Arabidopsis thaliana: one gene and its partner. The protein of the gene in region 1 interacts with the protein of each later gene in a pairwise test. Each region holds a gene or a part of one and is shown on either strand. Other genes may lie near its edges.

What was found.
Region 2: the proteins of TTG2 (region 1) and WRKY38 interact in a two-hybrid assay, tested with the Arabidopsis thaliana proteins (one large-scale study listed by BioGRID).

The regions. Positions count from the first base shown.
Region 1 is NC_003071.7:15,639,286-15,649,517, forward strand, and holds TTG2 (WRKY family transcription factor family protein), read left to right. Parts: upstream 1-5,525; 5' UTR 5,526-5,799; intron 5,800-5,983; 5' UTR 5,984-5,991; coding exon 5,992-6,204; intron 6,205-6,205; exon of another isoform or gene 6,206-6,290; coding exon 6,291-6,416; intron 6,417-6,482; coding exon 6,483-7,123; intron 7,124-7,197; coding exon 7,198-7,507; 3' UTR 7,508-7,791; downstream 7,792-10,232. Other genes in the region: AT2G37230 (Tetratricopeptide repeat (TPR)-like superfamily protein), read right to left, coding at 1-165; AT2G37240 (Thioredoxin superfamily protein), read right to left, coding at 950-1,009, 1,126-1,186, 1,287-1,378, 1,476-1,555, 1,648-1,684, 1,772-1,831, 1,918-1,963, 2,041-2,173 and 1 more; ADK (adenosine kinase), read left to right, coding at 2,706-3,002, 3,310-3,450, 3,531-3,803, 3,890-4,033; RPS5B (ribosomal protein 5B), read right to left, coding at 8,598-8,652, 8,747-8,950, 9,049-9,320, 9,665-9,757. UniProt on the Arabidopsis thaliana protein: Transcription factor. Interacts specifically with the W box (5'-(T)TGAC[CT]-3'), a frequently occurring elicitor-responsive cis-acting element. Regulates trichome development, production of mucilage and tannin in seed coats, and maybe root hair development.
Region 2 is NC_003076.8:7,492,300-7,501,572, forward strand, and holds WRKY38 (WRKY DNA-binding protein 38), read right to left. Parts: upstream 4,692-9,273; 5' UTR 4,409-4,691; coding exon 4,143-4,408; intron 4,000-4,142; coding exon 3,877-3,999; intron 3,790-3,876; coding exon 3,309-3,789; 3' UTR 3,156-3,308; downstream 1-3,155. Other genes in the region: AT5G22560 (transmembrane protein, putative (DUF247)), read right to left, coding at 1-798. UniProt on the Arabidopsis thaliana protein: Transcription factor. Interacts specifically with the W box (5'-(T)TGAC[CT]-3'), a frequently occurring elicitor-responsive cis-acting element.

The DNA of each region.
Region 1 (10,232 bases):
ATCTGGAGATTGGGTTTCTGGGTTTGCGTTTGCTGGAGTTTGGGTTTCTTCGATGGTGCTGAATAGACGAGGGAGTGAGAAGAGAGATGAGTTTGATGATCTGGGAAGCGAGAGATAAACCCTAGCTTTTGATTGGTAGCGTTTAGATCTGGAAATGAAAGCCATTACAGGAAATGGAACCTTTGTCTCTGAGTTTTTCTGAAAATTTTCAATTCGACATGGAAGGACAAAGGAAGCAAGAGTTTTTAGTGATGAGTAGGGTTTTAGTTTAGGGAAGAAATGGAGTCCTGGATCCAAATCTTGTTCCGGGTCGGGTATTTTCTGAACTTGAACCCGGCCTGTTAAGTGTTACTATCCAGCCCGGTTTCGTGCATAACAGATGGGCCTAGAATCGTATCTAGTGTTGACCAACATGTAATTTCCACACTGTTATCTATAATTTATTTGTTTTTATTAATGTTTAAAGTTCTTATGAGGAATAACAAACATGTATAAAGTAATTTGAAATGTAACCTTAAACAAATGTTGGATGGTGATAGGAGATGCCTAAGCTGACATATTTTGTGGGACTTCAAGATAGTAATCTATAGTCTTACCTTTGATCAACTATGTTATCATATCAATAGAGACAAAATTGTTTCGATAACTGGATTATGTGAATTTGATGTACATCTTTATTTGGAAATAAAAATATATATCTTCTAGCAAGGGCCACACTTATCCTTCGCTGATCTCGACTCATAAGTCATAATGATCATCAAAAATCAAGAAACAATGATCATTACTTTCGGTCTACGACTTGTCTTTTTTTCTTTCCCTACCTATATATCAAATGTGGTCGTTGTGATTGTGGTAATGGTGTTTTATGGATTTAGTTGAGTATCCGGGCATAGCAGTGTCGTTACTGTTTTTTAAATATCTATTTTTCGATTGCGATTCTTTCAACTCTTCAAGCACAACACGCTTTAAGGATCTCTTCAACAGGCGGGTCATCACCGGCTTCTTTGTCCTGAAATCCGCAAACAAATTGTTGAAAACAACAATGTGTTTGAAAAGATATATCGGTATACTAGGTTCCCAAATATGAGGCTAGTTTCACAATCAAGATTAGACGAAAGAGATTACCTTGCGTATATAAGAGATGTTATCTTTCCCAGGGCCAGCAACTAAGATTCCGCCTTGTTGCCTGCACAAGGTCCGTGACAATAGTTGTTAAGAAAAACGGAAAGTAATCTCATCGATCTCTAACCAGAAGGAATGAATGATTCATATACTCTTAAACTTACCAGCCGCCTCTTTCAACTGTATCTTTCATAAACGAGAGTTTCCAGTCTTGGCGGTATCCTTCCATGTAAGACTCTAGTATCTTCATAGCAGCCTATAATAATGCCACAGAAGCTACTGAGAGTCTGAGACCACAAAAGCAGAACATTTTGGTTACCTAATTATAATATGCTAAGTAGAAGTCACTCTACTTTGGGTGTAAATGTAACAGAAACCCCTGAAACGAACTCAAGCGCCTCGTATGATGCGTGGTTTGGATCCGCATAGACCTCTGTATTGAGAGAAAGTTGATTACAGATAATTAGATCATCTCATAAAAGGAACTACTCACCAGGCTTTTTTAGTAATCAAGAGAAAACATACCTCCTTTAAACTTAGTCTGTTCCACAAAAGTATTAGCCTGCATACATAGATGGTCATAACGTGAGAAGCAGCAGCTTAAAACTGCTTACGCTTACAAAAATTGCGTATTCAAAATGTTGTTTACCTGATCGATGCTTCCCGGTCCGATCAGAACAAGAGCAACACCAGATGCATCCATCACATCCTAAACAAAAATCTCAAAGGTATCACTCAATGACTTCAATTGTGTATAAATGGCCAATCTTTTTAAACCAAAGATCATTCTGTTACCTTCTTTTCTGCAAGATAAGCTGCTCGTTTCCGACAGAGCACACATCTGAAAACATAACAAGCAATCTTAGATAGTTACACATAGTCATAAACCAGAATCATCAAATATAATGAGAAAATTACCCAAAATGACGAGCAAATGCAACAACGGCCTTCCTATCTTTCCATAAATCAGAAATCGGAATCTCATTTCCTCTCAAATCCAAGACTTTCACTGTATCTAGCGAATCAGCTGTACCTTTCCCTATTCCAGCTCCTGTGGAGAATCAATATAATCTAGTAAGTAATCTAGAATCTCCGTATTCAATATAATATAGAAAGAGAAGACACTTAAGCTCACCGGAAGAAGCTCCGGTAATGGCCGACACGACCACGGCGCTACGCCGGAGAGAGACACTACGAAAGTGAGATTTGACCGAATAACCAGGAAGTACTGTCCCTAATCCATGAATCGTCTTCAGCTTCGGCTGCAGAGTAATGGACGTGATCGTCGACGACGACGAGAGAGCAATCGCCATTGTTGCTTCCAGAGAAAGCTGAAAATAATAATAATCCCAATTTAAAATCGAAATCGATTTTCTCATACCGTTGGTTAATCTCGTGGAGTTGGGTTATTACACGTGTCAGATGATGTAACCATGATCTCAGAGAAAAAGTCACATGCCACGTCAGTTAACTTTAGGGCAAAATGGGAAAAGAATCTAAAGAGCATATGTTCGTGCACGTTCTTGTTTAGGGTAAGCTCAAAGCTCAAGCCGCTTCTATCTCTCTACATTTCTCTTTCTGCAATGGCGAGATTAGTGCGTGTGGCTAGATCCTCCTCCCTCTTTGGCTTTGGTAACCGTTTCTACTCTACTTCAGCCGAAGCTAGCCACGCGTCGTCGCCTTCGCCGTTTCTTCACGGCGGCGGAGCTAGCAGGGTTGCTCCGAAAGATAGAAATGTTCAGTGGGTGTTTTTGGGATGTCCTGGTGTTGGAAAAGGAACTTACGCTAGTAGACTATCAACCCTTCTCGGCGTTCCTCACATCGCCACCGGCGATCTCGTCCGTGAAGAGCTTGCATCTTCTGGACCTCTCTCTCAAAAGGTGCGACCTTTTTTTTTCTTTCCCATTTTCTGTTACTGTGATTCTGATGGAGATTCTCTTCTTTGTTCGATTTTGGATCCATATAGTCTGAAATTGAATGTTTAGCTAATCGGACTTTCATTATTGGATCTGAAAATTTCCGTCTATCTCTCGATAGATCTAGTGAGCTAAGTCCATTTGAAAGTGTTTCTAACTACATTTGATCAGTATCATAACAGATCTATTCATATATATTAAAGTCAATGGCTTTGTTTTGTTTGTTATCTGTATGCATAATTGTTAAACAATCTCTTGTTACTTGATGCAGCTATCGGAGATTGTAAATCAGGGAAAATTGGTTTCTGATGAGATCATTGTAGACTTATTGTCCAAAAGACTTGAGGCTGGTGAAGCTAGAGGTGAATCAGGGTTTATCCTTGATGGCTTTCCTCGTACCATGAGACAAGCTGTAAGTATTATTCGTTTTAAGCAATTTTTGATAATCAATCTCCATTATCATTTCTAACAGTGGATTGTCTTTTGGTTCAGGAAATACTGGGAGATGTAACTGACATCGATTTGGTGGTGAATTTGAAGCTTCCTGAGGAAGTTTTGGTTGACAAATGCCTTGGAAGGAGAACATGTAGTCAATGTGGCAAGGGTTTTAATGTAGCTCACATCAACTTAAAGGGTGAGAATGGAAGACCTGGAATTAGTATGGATCCACTTCTCCCTCCACATCAATGTATGTCAAAGCTTGTCACTCGAGCTGATGATACTGAAGAGGTGGTGAAAGCAAGGCTTCGTATATACAATGAAACGGTAAGCCCCTCTATTGTCCTTTTCCATTGCTAGTTTATGAACGATCAGGTGTTAATTAGTGCCTTTTTGTATTTTTCTATATGCAGAGCCAGCCTCTTGAAGAATACTACCGTACCAAGGGAAAGCTTATGGAGTTTGACTTACCTGGAGGCATCCCAGAGTCATGGCCAAGGCTATTGGAAGCTTTAAGGCTTGACGATTACGAGGAGAAACAGTCTGTCGCAGCATAAGTTCACTATCAAATCCCGGTATTTAAAATTCTTTGCATGTGGAATACATATGCGTAATCAATTTTGTGTTGGAAATAAAAGTAAAAAGAAAACCTTAGATTGTTTTTCACCTCAATAGAAATAATCATACACACTTGCGCAAACTATTATTTTTCCACCAGCCGGGGATTTTGGCTCCATGAGAGAAATATGATGTATCATGATTGTTTGAGATTGCTAGTGACATTACAGGAATGTATCAATACTTCTACACCACTTGTTATGCATTGAGTTTAATCGTTATGCTCTTGTGATATGTTTTTTTTGGAAAATGTGATGAATGATGATATTGCGGCTGGCCGAGCTGGCTGGTTAAAGAACTCAACCAGACAGTAAAGTAAAACAGCCGCATAGATTAAACGGGAACTTATAACCAGCTCTTGACTGTCCTAGCATTGGCGGTGCGGGATAGAATCGTTCCTTACATCATGGAATTGATGCTCTCATTATCGGTCATTGTGTATTACTTGCTCTGTTATTTGTTGTGATCAAAACCTAGCTTCTGTTTTACGTTTGCCGTCTCTGAATTTTTTTTTGGTTTTTAACTCTCCCTACGTGAGTATGGATGGTAAATACAGATTCAATTTGAAATGCTGAACGGGACTTGGCTCATAGCAATCTAAATCACAGTGACAAACGTGTACTTCGATTGCCTTTGTGATGGTCAATCAAAGCTGTAATGTTGTTGGTTTTTGACGCTAACCGGAACTAAACTCCTTTCACTGAGAGGTCTCGATGAGAGAAATCATTGTCATGAACGAAATAATTTAAAACATGATTTAAGATTACAGAAAATGCCTAACGCAAAATTATTGACGAATCACAAGGCAAGGAAGAAGTAGAGAGGAGAGTTGATAAGAAAAGAGAAATCTTCATAGAAACTAAAACTGTGTACAAGTGTTTATATACATTGATTAAGCTTCAACAATCTTCTTAATTAACCACATTGATTAGCTTCAACAATCTTCTTAACTAACCTAACATATTAGTTAGACAATTAATAATGTCAACTCCAATATTTGTTGAAACTCCAATATTGTTATAAATTGCAAGCTAACAAAGTAACAATTGATAGGTTTAATAAATATTTTCGTCAAATGATCATTGGGTAGTGGTATTTAATAATATTTTATTAACTCATGTAGTGAAAAGTATTGGACAAGATGACTGAATTTTCTTCGTCTCTTATCTAACAGAGGTGTAACCGAAATAAACCGAATTCAATTTGGTTGGGTTGAGTTAAAATAAAATAAGTTGGTACAGTTCAGTTCACGTGTTTACTTCGAACAGAACAGGCTCGTGCGCGTGTCAACAACCAATAAGTTCTTTTGGTCGCTGTAGTCTTCAACTAAAACCAAACGACACCGTTCCTTGTGGCCGCGTTTTCCAACTAACTTTCAACTTCAACTAACGTTCAACGAGTGTCCATCTCCTCTATCTCTCTTTTTCCTTTTCATTGGCTTCTTCATCACTATAGAGACTAAAACTGACCTTGATCCATCCAACGTTCCCTATACTGACACGTGTATCCATCACAGTGTCGGCTAAAGCTCAAGGAACTCATACCAAGAAATACATCATCATCTCTCAATAATCACAAACCGGATCCGGATCAATTTGGATCCATCAGATTTTCTTCGTTCCCTAACTCCTAAAAAGGAGAGATTCTTCAAATCCTTATCACAACTTCAGTTTTTGCATTCACCGTCGTGAGTGTTCTACTTTTGGTAATGATTCACTAGTCAAGTTTCTTTCTTTATGCTATAACTTGCAACTAGATCTTGTACTAATGGAATTGATGTTTCTCCAATCATCTTCTTTGATTTTGCTCCATCTTTCTTTTCCTAATTTGGAAAAATGAGTCTTTACCTATAGAATCTGATAAATATGTCTCTTACATAATTGATTAAGGTCAAGTAATGGAGGTGAATGATGGTGAAAGAGTGGTAATAGCAAAACCAGTTGCCTCAAGACCTTCTTCAAGTTCTGGCTTCAGGACATTCACTGAGCTTCTTACTGATTCAGTTACCGTATCTCCGCAAACGACTTGCCACGAGATTGTAGACGCTGCTATAAGACCAAAGACTTTGAGATTCAATCAGCCAGTAGCAGCTTCGGTCTCATGTCCACGGGTATCGAGTTGTCTATTTAATTCTTCGCATTGTTATCTTCTTTCCGCATCCTCTAGTCTTGACTCAACTATTTCTGATAATGATAGGCTGAAGTAAAAGGTATTGGAAATGGAATGTCTTGTGATGATGATTCAGATAGCAGAAACTACGTCGTTTATAAACCGAAAGCAAAGCTTGTCTCCAAAGCAACCGTCTCTGCATTGGCTAATATGGTAAGTTGATTTTAAAGCTAACAAGGTCACTGACTTTCGAATGTTGTTTAATTCTGTTTTCTTTAGCTTCAGGGGAATCGTCAACAAACTTGGAGACAAAGCGAAGCAGTATCCTATGGGAAGAGTGTGAGCCAAGGTACACATCGAGCAGGTCCTAATCTAGTCCAGAAAGTTCCATCTTTTACGGAATCAGAGACATCTACTGGGGATAGATCTTCTGTGGATGGATACAACTGGAGGAAATACGGACAGAAGCAAGTTAAAGGAAGTGAGTGTCCAAGGAGTTATTACAAATGCACACACCCGAAATGTCCGGTGAAGAAGAAAGTAGAGAGATCAGTGGAAGGTCAAGTTTCAGAGATTGTGTATCAAGGTGAACATAATCACTCAAAGCCATCTTGTCCTCTTCCACGGCGTGCTTCATCATCAATCTCTTCAGGGTTTCAAAAACCACCAAAATCGATTGCTTCTGAAGGATCAATGGGACAAGACCCTAACAATAATCTCTATTCTCCTCTATGGAACAATCAAAGCAATGACTCTACTCAAAACAGAACAGAGAAGATGAGTGAAGGTTGTGTTATTACACCATTTGAGTTTGCTGTTCCAAGATCGACAAATTCAAATCCCGGAACTTCAGATTCCGGTTGCAAGAGTAGCCAATGTGATGAAGGAGAGCTTGATGATCCAAGCAGAAGCAAAAGAAGGTAAGATTGTTTCAAACTCTTAACTTCTGCAATTTTGTTTACATTGCTTGTATTGACTTTGTGTTTGATAACAGGAAGAACGAGAAGCAATCTAGTGAAGCAGGAGTATCGCAAGGCTCAGTGGAATCAGACAGTCTTGAAGATGGATTCAGGTGGAGAAAGTATGGACAAAAAGTGGTAGGAGGCAATGCGTATCCAAGAAGTTATTACAGATGCACAAGTGCTAATTGCAGAGCAAGGAAACATGTTGAACGAGCGAGTGATGATCCAAGAGCTTTCATTACAACCTACGAGGGTAAACATAATCATCATTTGCTCTTGAGCCCTCCATCTTCCTCTACTCTTCCCTTTAACTCCCCACAACTTTCTAAGCAAACAATTTGATTTGATGATCCATTCATGCTTTTTCTTTTTTCTTTTTCTTTTTTTGTTAAGAATGAGAAAAAAGAAGAAGCAAATGGTAAATACAATCACCATTTGCTCTTCACTCACAACTTCCTAAGCAAAAGCCATTTGATCAATTCATGCCTGTTTCTTCAATCTTTATACCACATTAGTTAATTAATCGTGTGAATTTATTTGTTTTTACATTAAGATTGTAAGGACAAGAAGATTGATGTTATTTTAACAAATCCAAATAAAAACGTGTGTTATATTTTTTAGGGGTAACTTTCTTCAATATGTTTAGTTTATCGAACTTGAGAAATTTGACTTCATGGGACCATTTCTTTTCTGTTCACGTTGCTAAACATAATGCAATTTCCATCGGTGTAACTCAATTACATTGGTGGTCTATCGAAATCCTCTAGATCTCAGTAACCACGTTGGTATTGTACTACCTTTCCAAGGAACATAAGATAAACTCATAAGCTTAATGAGTTATCTATCCGATACTTGTTTACATTTTCGCGGCGTGAGTCGAAGGGAGAAAGAATCACATGTCAAGATCACGCCTTGTATATCTTGTCCGTAGGATTGAAAGGCGGGTCATGTCTCGGAATTGAGAAGCCCTTAACCACCCGACTTGAGCCATGTGGGCATATACACATGATTTGCCATCCAGAAATGCTACTTACGGTATGGACACCATTGAGCCCAAATGCCTTTAAATGCAATGTACATGGTGCTTGGAAGACTGACAGGGAAATTAGAGGCATTGGTTGTGTCCTTAGAGACTCAAAATAGATTGTTTGAGTTATCTGAAATTTTTCATGGCTCCATCTACATCTTTTATCTTGGAGTAGCAGCAAATTGGAAACCATATAACTACCATGATTTATAGCACTTTAAACTGAAAAATATATAGATGAAATAATTTTAAATATGAAACCGTTTGATGATCAAGATCCCAAGTCGATTATAAGCGTCAAAATTTCATTAAAGATAGAGAGATCATCTGAAACATATCCAAAGCTAATGGAAACAACACAAAAACTCTTTGATATAATGCAAACTTAGAGGAAAGGGAGATCCCTTAACGATTGGCCTTAGCAACTCTCTCAATCTCATCTTTCTTCTTGATGGCATAGCTGCAAGACAAGAGAAGATGCTATTATTAGCTTAACTAACTAACAATAAAGTGAAGCCATCAAGAGACAGACTATGTAGATAGAGTGTTCTTACCTGTTGGAAGATCCCTTTGCAGCATTGATGAGTTCATCAGCAAGGCACTCAGCGATTGTCTTGATGTTTCTAAAGGCAGCTTCACGTGCACCAGTTGTAAGCAAGAAGATCGCTTGGTTCACACGTCTTAGAGGAGAGATATCAACAGCCTGCCTCCTAACCACACCAGCAGATCCAATCCTGGTAGCATCTTCACGTGGACCACTAATTCACATAAAGAACAAACCTTCTTAATTAGATTCAGTTCATAGTAACAAGCACGCAAGAATTTTACAGGTTTCAGTATAGCAATCTTAATATACCTGTTAACAATGGCATCAATGATAACTTGAATCGGGTTCAAGTCAGACAAGAGGTGGATAATCTCCATGGCATGCTTGACGATCCTGACAGCCATCAACTTCTTACCATTGTTTCTTCCGTGCATCATGAGAGAGTTAGTGAGCCTCTCAACAATTGGGCACTGCGCCTTTCTGAACCTCTTCACAGAGTATCGTCCAGCAGTATGGGGAACAAAAGTTGCGTGCTTCGATGGCTGAACACCAATGTAGTCCACAAGACTAATATCCGTAACCTACATAACACCAATATGCAGATCAAAAACAAATATTAGCACACCAATCATATAAAACACAAAAAATACATGACCTTTAGTGTCAAATTAGTGTTATAATCAAAACAAACACAACATGGGTTTCAGTGAAGACGGACAAAGATTATAATAGCTAAGATCTAGTAAGTGACTAAGTGAGGACTATAATTTGATATAATTCACACAATAAAGCTAATGTAACTACTCATATCAATATAAACCAATCATTTCAATGTCTATCATACAGCTAAATAAGAATTAGATCCTAGACAATTCTCAAGTGTCTAAAGAGATATTCTAAGAGAAGGGATTGGTGAGGAATATACCGAAACGTCATCAAAGCTCCAACGGTTGAAGAGCTTAACCTCATTGGTAAGCTGCTGTTGAATCTCAGCGTCGATTTCTGCGGAGGCGGCCATGACTGGAGGATCAATAGAAGATTAGTAAAAACCCGTAAATAGGAAATTAGAAAATGAAAAAACAGGAATCAGAGAATGGACCTGAAACTCTATAAGTGTCGAGAGAAGTAGGGATCTTTAGCCGCGGCTTGAAGAAGAAGAAGAGAAGGAAGCTCAAGCAATGAAGAATAAACCCTAAAAATGAGTGTTAGTAATGTTCTGTTTATAAAATGGGTTTTATTGGGCTTATGTTGGGCTTTTGTGTTTTGTTTTAGTTTAGTTTCTCTCCGAATTGGACACAGTTTGGCTATTGGGTTGTATTTATGTTGAGAGACTGACTAGATTAGGTTTTATCTTTTCTTGGCAATAGTTGAAGATACGGTTTTATCTTTTGTCTACATAAATCATCATACGTTGCATCGAACAAAGTTCTCAAAATGCTTACCAACTTGATTTACAAGTGACATTTTATTATTCTTAAGAACATGAAGAATAC
Region 2 (9,273 bases), on another chromosome or scaffold:
TTTTTTAGGTTGACTTGGTACGAAAGTCTTACGGATGAGATCAAGAAGATGGCTTGCATCAAGATTCATTCTTTCATCCCAAAATTTTTGTGGCCTTTTTATCGAATAGCCAAAAAAGTTGAAGATCATCTCATTTAAGCTAGTTTTAGTAGCTAACTTTGTTGTGTTAAAAAGATCTCGAAGAAGGAAAAGCGGAACCTGATTTTCAAGGAGGAGGAGATCACTTCGTAGAGTTGGTAAAATCCACCTCAACATGAAGATGGGATCCTCAAATGCTTTATGCGGAACCTTACGTGAAACCAAGAGGAACAACATAAGGATGAAGCAACCATCAAGAACCATGAGATCGATCAGCTCTACTTGATTAAGTTGTAGTTCCTCGGAGTAGGAATCTCGTATGAGATGTTCCTTTTTCCAGACCACGTTTTGCAAGTCTTCTATGCCCACGCCCTTTTTCGTAGTCTTGGACAAGAAGATATCAAGATATCGTTGTTTGTGCTGCTGGATCATCTTAAAACGTGCTTTATCCGCTTTATCGGCTTTATCGACTTTATCAGCTTTACCGTGATCATGGTGATAAGGACCGATCGAGACAATCTTCGGTTTGTACGCTGTATCATTGGATTGAACGAGAGTGTGAGGGATTCTAAAGATGCAACAAGATTGGTGAGCTGCTGAATTTCTCAGAAGTATTTTGGAATCTTCATCTACCCTTCGGATTTGTACGATGCAATCATCTTCCCCTGAAATTGTTGTGCTTCCTCCAGTGTGTTGCTTGGGAAGATACATGGCTCTCATCTAGTACTTGTATTTTTCTTGATCTTTTTTCTCTTGACAAGAAAATATCAAACGGTTTAGTGAACATTAAAACGAAAACAAAATGATTATTGTAAGACCATCAAATGAATTAAAGACCGAAATAATGAATTAACAAGGTCTAACATTTATTATCATCAAAAAGTCACCTTATGATCTAAAAATTATGTCAAGAAAATTAGATAATTATATCAATTTGACCCAAAATAACAATAATTATGCACCTCTTATATATTGGCTCAGTTATATATTCGAAAATCTACCCTTCACCTATATATGAAAAATTTAAGAAAACGAATTTTCAGAGTCATGTCTCTTCCCATGCAATCCATTGTATAAGCTGAATTGAGGATAACAAAGCTGCAGATTTCATTATGTAAGTTTTCATTATAAATGTAATGTTACTAATCATAATCTATATTTCATACATATGCATAGTAAAATAATGGTCTATGATAAGGAATAAGAATCCGACAAACAAGAATTACGACATGCGCTCCATCTCTGAATCAGCTAATCAAAGATTAGATAGAAAGAAAAGCAGTCGTTGACTTTTACTTTCATGTGGCATTATAAAAAACGGATGGTTGTTATTATATACTTTCAACTTGATCTAGCTAGTTGCCTAGTTTGTTCGTCCAGACCACTACTAGTATTTTGTAAATAATACCAATTTTACTTTTCTTATAGTAAGCTGTGAAAGACATGTGGTAATAGAAATTATATAGAGCAAATAATTACGAGTGTATTAACGTAATTTTATATTATAAAATGCTAGTATTATATTAAGGGTGTCTTAAAAATAACAATAAACCCAACAAAAGTGTTTTAAAGAATACATTTTTGACATACTGTCTCACCTTATCCTAGAAAATTACTTTTCAATATTGATATTTCTTTTTAAAAATTATGTTAAGACACTTATAAAAATAATGCAATGGAAATGTTCTTAGGTTACATAAAGAATATTGACGTCATCAATAGGTGGTCTCATGCTCGTAGAATATCATTTGTAAATAATGTCGTTTTATATAATCCAAAAACAGACTTGAAACATAATGTAATTTCAGTTTTGTCATCATTAGCTTAGCTTATTCACCTAAAGAGTTAAACTTATATTGTTTATCAGTAAAAATATCTATAAGCTATAGAGGCTTCAGGCTTGCTTAAACAGTCCTTGTAATTACTTTCATAAATAGAATCTACGTATAAAAATATTATGATTTTATACACGTTTAATGCATGTGTGAAAAGGTTAAAAATATACAAAATAGACTTCCACAAATAGTTCCACTCATCAAAATTAAACATGACCTTCGAGGCAGAACATCACGAGTTGACGTAATGGTGTATGTAATCTATTCATTTATGTAAGATTCTATGTTTTTAAGCAAATCGTTTCTTTTTTGGTATCAAGCAAATCGTTTCATAATTAGCATATAATGTTTTCTAGTTTCTTTATCCTTTCAATGTGTCAAGCTTCATTTTCTATTAATCATTTTGAATAGACCGAACGCAAGAAGATGTGTGTGCTTCGGCCAATAGCAAGAAAAATCAAACCCTTGTAAATATTACATTTTCTCAAACAAATCCGGTTTTACATATTCTACTTCTGCTCCAAATATGAAAAATACTTCGGTTCAAATCCGGTTCACCCTCAGGAATTTAAACTTTGTTATTCACCCTATTTTATTTTGCTAATCATAATATACCACTTAATTAAAAATATTAAATTATAAAAATTAATTTGCCACCAAAAACAGTTATATATTAGTTTGAGTTTATAAGAAAATAGTTAAGATTAAAATTTAATAATTAAACAAGATAAAATATAGGTTTGAGTTTATAAACGAGTTTAGATTTTTTTCAACTAGATGAGGTTAATTGTTGGTATGAGTTTATAAAAAGGTTTACATTTTACATTTTTAAACGAGGTTAAATATATCAATTTGGGTTTAGAAAAAATGGTTAGGATTATAGACGTTAAAACTAAACGAGGTTAAATGTTGGTATGAGTTTGTAAAGGAGAATTATGGTTTAGTTTGTAAATAAACGAGGTCAAATTAAATGTTGGGTTTGGTTTATAAACATATTTAGATTTTACAATTAAACGAGGTTAAATGTGAGTTTGGGATTAGAAAGAATGGTTAGAATTTATATTTTACAATTAAACAAGGTTAAAATGTCGGTTTTGAGCTTTTAAAGATGAATGAGAGTTTAGATTTTATAATTAAACGAGATTATAGATCGATTTAGGTTTACACAAAAAGTGGTTGAAATTTATATTTTATAATCAAATGAATTTTTAATTTATTTATTAGATGATAGAGTTTTATTGGCCGGAAATAAACTCTTAGGGGTGAATATAAATATTGTTCTCGGATTATCTAATCAATAACATAAATACTTAAATAGTCACAATTCTCAAATATATACAATCTCATAAAAAGGAAAACATTATTAAATAGTTTTAGCTGAAAAATCTAGTGCAATCAAAAGTAAAACTGATCATAACGATCCCACGAGTCTGGGTTGTCAAATAACAAATCAGAATTAAAGTCAGCACTTTCACTGCCAGATGACGATGAAGGAGGATAAGAGCCTGATGGTGATGATAGATATTCTTCTATAACATCTTGACAATCTTGGTCATTACTGGTTATCTCACGGTACTGATCTATAGCTTGCTCTTTGATGATATCTTCTTCATGCTTAACCGATAAGGAGAAACCGTTCGAGCGGCTTTCCTTCTCCTGATCCTGATCTTTTCCGAATCGGATCATTTGGGTACTTTTAAAGTCATCTAGGGGATCTTGTCCGGCAATAAAAATGGCATCTAGATTATGTTCGGTTTTGCAAGTGTGGTGGCCAAAGTAAGTGGTTCGGTAAACCGGAGGATTGTCTTTGATCTTTTGTTCATGCTTTCTTGCTTCGCAGTTATGATCTTTGTTGTAAGAACATCTATAGTAACTCCTGTTACCATCATCATACACCAATTAGTATGAGTGATCGGGATAGAAATAATTATGATGAAATATGATTAGCTATACTATTTCTTACCTTTGGTGATTAGATTTTTTTATACTCTTTTGACCATATTTCCTCCAAAGATACCCGTCGTAGTAAATCGGATCCGGTGAATCGTCCCTCCAATTCTCACTTGAATTTGTACTATCAATCTTTCTGCAAACATGAGTATTATCAAAATATTAGCATTAAAATCAACATATACTCCTAAGAAAAAAAATACTTATATTAAGAATTGTGGTTTCATTTGGAAAAACAAAAACAAACTCAAAAAAGAAAACAAACTCATAAGTGTATACCTTTTCTTGGAGGGGCTCCCCTGTGGAGGAGGAGAAGAATCCCTAGAAGATAAATCAGAAAACTGATCATCTTCGGTTTCTGGTTTAGCAGATAAGATTGAAATGGCATTGGAAAAACTTTCAACGATCGATTTAGCAAGATCATAACTTGAAAGCGGTCCACCATCAGCCATTGGATGGTTGAGCCGCCTCTTCAACCGCATGGCGCAGCTATGGCCATAACGGATAGCTTGCACCGCCTTTTCGTGTGGGGAGTTCATTTCCATAGAGTATAGTGAACTTGTGTGTGTGTGTATGTGTTTCTTGTTTGTTTTCTTTTTCTCAAGTCTCTTCTCTGTGCTATAAACTTTTGAACGGATAGGGAGATCAGAATTTATAGGACTAGTCGTACATACACGTTCCCAAATGACTTTGCCAATTTGGGTTTACCAAATATAATTTACATACACTAGGTTATATTTTAAGAAGCCAATGATAAATTATAATTTCGATATAGGACATGTGCTCTGCTAGACTTATATGCGTGAATCTAAATAAAGAGAGACAAAAAGATAGATTAGGTGTTGACATTAGCATATGATCTGTCATGATGTATAGGAAACAGAGTTTATTTTATATACCTTTCCCAGTACGCGGCTCACTTAATTATATACAATCTGTTTTTAATTGTTTCAGAATTTATCTGTTTCTCTTATTACACTAATCTACGCGGTTCGCTTAATAATTAAAGATTAAAAATTAAAAACTACTCCTTTCAGAACACTAAAAGGTTTCAAGATAGGAGGAATCTAATAGAAAACTGTGTTCTACAAAGTCAGATATATTAGAGAGAGATATGAGCTATGATAAACCCCAAATTAGCAATGATTTTAAAATTTTCTTTTGTAATCTTTCCATTTCAATATGTGTCGCAATTTTTTTTATTTTTTTTTTGAAAATATATAGCAGATGAAATTTAAGAATAAATTTGTTTGCTTAATTTTGTTGATTGTATATCGTTAAATATTTTTTATTTAATATTTTGATAGGTGGTTTTAATTATAATTTATACGGTAACTAATAATATAGAGTTTTGAAAATAATATATTTTACGTTCATATGACAAAAAAAAACAAATGTATGTAATAGATTGGATGTTCACAAAAAAAAAAAGTATAACATATTTTACACGTCCATCGCAATGTTTACCTCATCAAAGATGAAACGTGTACAAATAATGTTTTTTTGCTCAATATAATAAGCTTCGAACACATATGATATGATCAATTCATTTTTTTGTAATGAAAATACTCCACTAGTCGTGGATATCTTTAATGGTAAAATTATCTAATTTTTTGGTGAGTTTTGGTTCAGATTTTAAATAAAAATGTAAGTATTTAGACCAGACAAAAGATAATTATTAGGTAATAGAATAACATTAACAAGTAAGATCTAGACAATTTTTCAACGCTTAAAGAGAGAAATAATTGCGATGTAGCTGGCGAGTGGCGACTAATGCACCAATGAAAACGGCATTAGTTTCGTCGGACACTCGACGTCAGCCCCATGACGTAGTTTTTGTTGAAGGGGCTGATTCAGCAGATTGACGTCAGAACGAAGCAGCAATGTTGATTATATTATATACTAACAACAACTAGTCAACTATGCCGTGATGTGAGATTCATTCGTTGGCTACTCGGTCCATATTTTAATTTAATCTAAAATTTTAAGAATTTATAATTAATAAGCTTTGCAAAAGATAACTGGTAATCTTGAATCCTTTTTCTTTAGGTAAACTTGAATCTTATATGAAAGAAAAATTAGTAATTACATTTTAAGCGGATAAAATGATATAATATACGTACAAAAGCTTGTTTTGAATATATAGTATAATCTGAAAGCTAACCAATCCAAGTTATACAATCATATTTTAAAACTAATAGATGGTCAATCCAAAACAATTTATCCTTATCAGATTGTATACATCGATGGTATTTTCAGGCCATGAATTAACACCATTCATGAAACTATACAACAAATTACAAAGTTTGTAAAGAATGTTAAGTTCTATCTACCCATCAATTTAACAACCCTATCTTCTTCTGCGGGTGGTTAATGTAAATTGATAGATATCAACACATAAGAGATATATATATATATATATATATATATATATATATATATAAACTTTCGCACGTGACTTTGATCTGATCTGTGAAACGTTGCCCACATGTATTTTGTTCTTGTTATTAGCAAATTGTTAAATATTGTATAGGTATTAGTACTATATTGAGTAAGGGGTCACATATGTACAAGTCAAGCAAAGCTATGGGTCAAGTCACATTATTTTATGGTGCGAAAGGAAAGTGAATGTGAACATGACTTACATGACAATAATGGTGATACATTTTTTTAATAATTTTATTTATTAGCTAATTAAACCAAGTAGTTGGAACGTAGCTTCCATGTCTTCTTTAATCTGACGACGACTTCAACAAAATTCCCCATTTTCAATAATCCTACAGAACTTTAAAACTTATCTTTATATTAACTTCTTCAGGACTTTTCAATTCAAGATATTTATCTTTGGATTCGTGCTTCCAGCTTTAGTCAAATATATACTTTTGACGTCCTGATTTTTCCAAATAAGGAAAAAAAAGATCCATCGTGCTTGCTCGTGATCTTACATTTTTCCTACTTAACTAATAGATGACCTCCCCAACTTAAATTTCTTAACCACATTTATCTATACAAAAGGACAGGCTACATCCTAGAAAGAAAATAATTAGCAACAACATTGAGACAATATATCGCTTTTTGGTTATATAATTAAGGATTTTATTAGACCAGGATGACAGGAAATTGTTTCGCCCTTTCAATAAGGCCATTTGAAATGCTTGAACTTTGTTATAATCGGAGTCGGTTATTGATAGTCAATTTTTGCAAATGAAGACTCAGGTTGAGTGAACTCAAAACTAACTAAGGATAGTTAGTGGACTACGGTTTCCTTGAACCACCTTTCAACAGACTTGTAGAAAAAAAAACACATGATCCAGCTACCTTCTTTTTCATTGTGGGTTTGTAAAATGCAAAGTAGCAAAACATTTTTCTAATGAAAAAACAAATGGGCTGGAAAGTATAGTTGTCACAACTCAAAATTAAGTAAGCCCAACAAAATAAAGACCTATTAGTCATTGTTCTTTTAATGACTTCTAAAGGTTATCGTTGTTTTTATATATAACAAAAATATACCTCGTATCATGACAGTACAGTAGGTCGGAACGGCCACCCGATCAACTCTTGAAGACGAAGACATAGGCATCGAAACACTCTGATCTCATCCAGAAGACCTATCTCACAACTTGGCTCTATAGTTTGCAACGCACATACCAGTTTTTATTACCCTCTTGATAGTTTATCCTCTAATCAACAAAAAAGTCATGGCAAATATGTTAATACTTTGACAAAAAATAAACAATAAGTTACCACACATGGTTAACACATTGAAAATAAGTTTTATACATACAGATAAAAATGGTGGAAAACTATGAAATTTACCACATAATCAATTTCTTTTAACCACATTCCATTTGAAATCTCGAAAAAATAGTACCAATAATGTTAGGCATCGGGTCGATATAATGTCATTTTCAGTGGGAATTATTTAAGAGCATGGCCACATGCATGCTGCTTTAATCATATCTTTAAAAGGGAAATAATGAAGAAAATAAAATTGATGGGTCCAAGTTTCATATGACTGGAGAAGAATGAAGGAGTGCAAGAAGGATCATAGAAAATAAATAGTATGGCTGAATCAAACTTTTTTGTAAAAGGGGTTCACAAAAGATGTTGAGCTGACACATATCCATGCACCATGTTTTTCTTTCCATTGGATTTTTTATGTCTCTCAGATCTTGTTCACATAAAAGAAAAGATTTTTATACCTTTGATTAATTAGGGTTGAGTGATTAGCATATTCAAATCTAACTCTTTTTTTTTATAAGAATGTAAATCTTCATTTTACAATGAAAAGTTGTTACACAATTAAGCATCACATGCCAAAAAAGGATTAAAAAAATATGGAAGCACACCACCTTCTTGCACCAAATCATCAAGGCAACCATTGCTAATGGTAGAAGACATCATGATGCAAGACAAAAATGTTTCCCTAAAATGAATCTAACTTGAAATGAAAGAAATTAACTACCAGGTCAACTGAATCCACTTTGGTATGATTTCAGTTTGGTTCTGTCAAATCAGGGAAAATTGATTTGAATTGTAAAAACCTTAAAATAGGATTAGTTACTCCTGTAGTTTCCTTTGGATCAATATATTCTATTGAATTTATTCACGTTTTTGGTCGAGGAAAATGTTAATTAATCCAAAATTTTCCATCATTTTGATTTTGATATAAGTATAACTACCTCATTTTATTATAGGCCAGTTAATTTTATAAGACGAAATCCGCCCACCCGTTAAAGATTGATATAATCATATCGATTTGATCGAGTACATGCATGAATATGGAGAAAATTACAACAAACCAAACAAATGTGAGGTTATTTTCAGTTCTTGTGGGTACACATTGTAGGGCAACTCAAATGGGACTTGAGAGTACCTGAATGAATCATTTCTCTTCTTCACATACATACTATAAGAAAATAAATAATACCATCACCGTGAGCAATATTTATGTCGCCATAATCTTTAATATGTTTCCAAATAAATTAAAGATAACAATACATGGTGATAGACAACGATGGAAGTATGAAACCAACCTATCACGTGCTAATTTTTTTGTCACCATCGATAAGAGAGATTAACAGTACTAATTTTCTAATGGTAAGAGCTTACCTCAAGATTATTCGGTAGGGAAAATCAGCTATACAACGTTTTTAAAAATCAAAGAGAACTCGGAAAAAGAAAAAAAATTTGTATATCAATCACATCGAATGTGAGACTAAACCACGTTGATATTTTTTTCCTTACTTATAACAAAAAATAAATGGTTTTGAACGATAACTACGTACTGTTGTGGTACGAGGTATACCGTTTTGATAATTAACAATTACAATTATCATTCTAGAGGTACGAGGTTTTTTACCGTTTTATACTATTTCGTAACAATTTATCATTACAGTTTACAACTTTG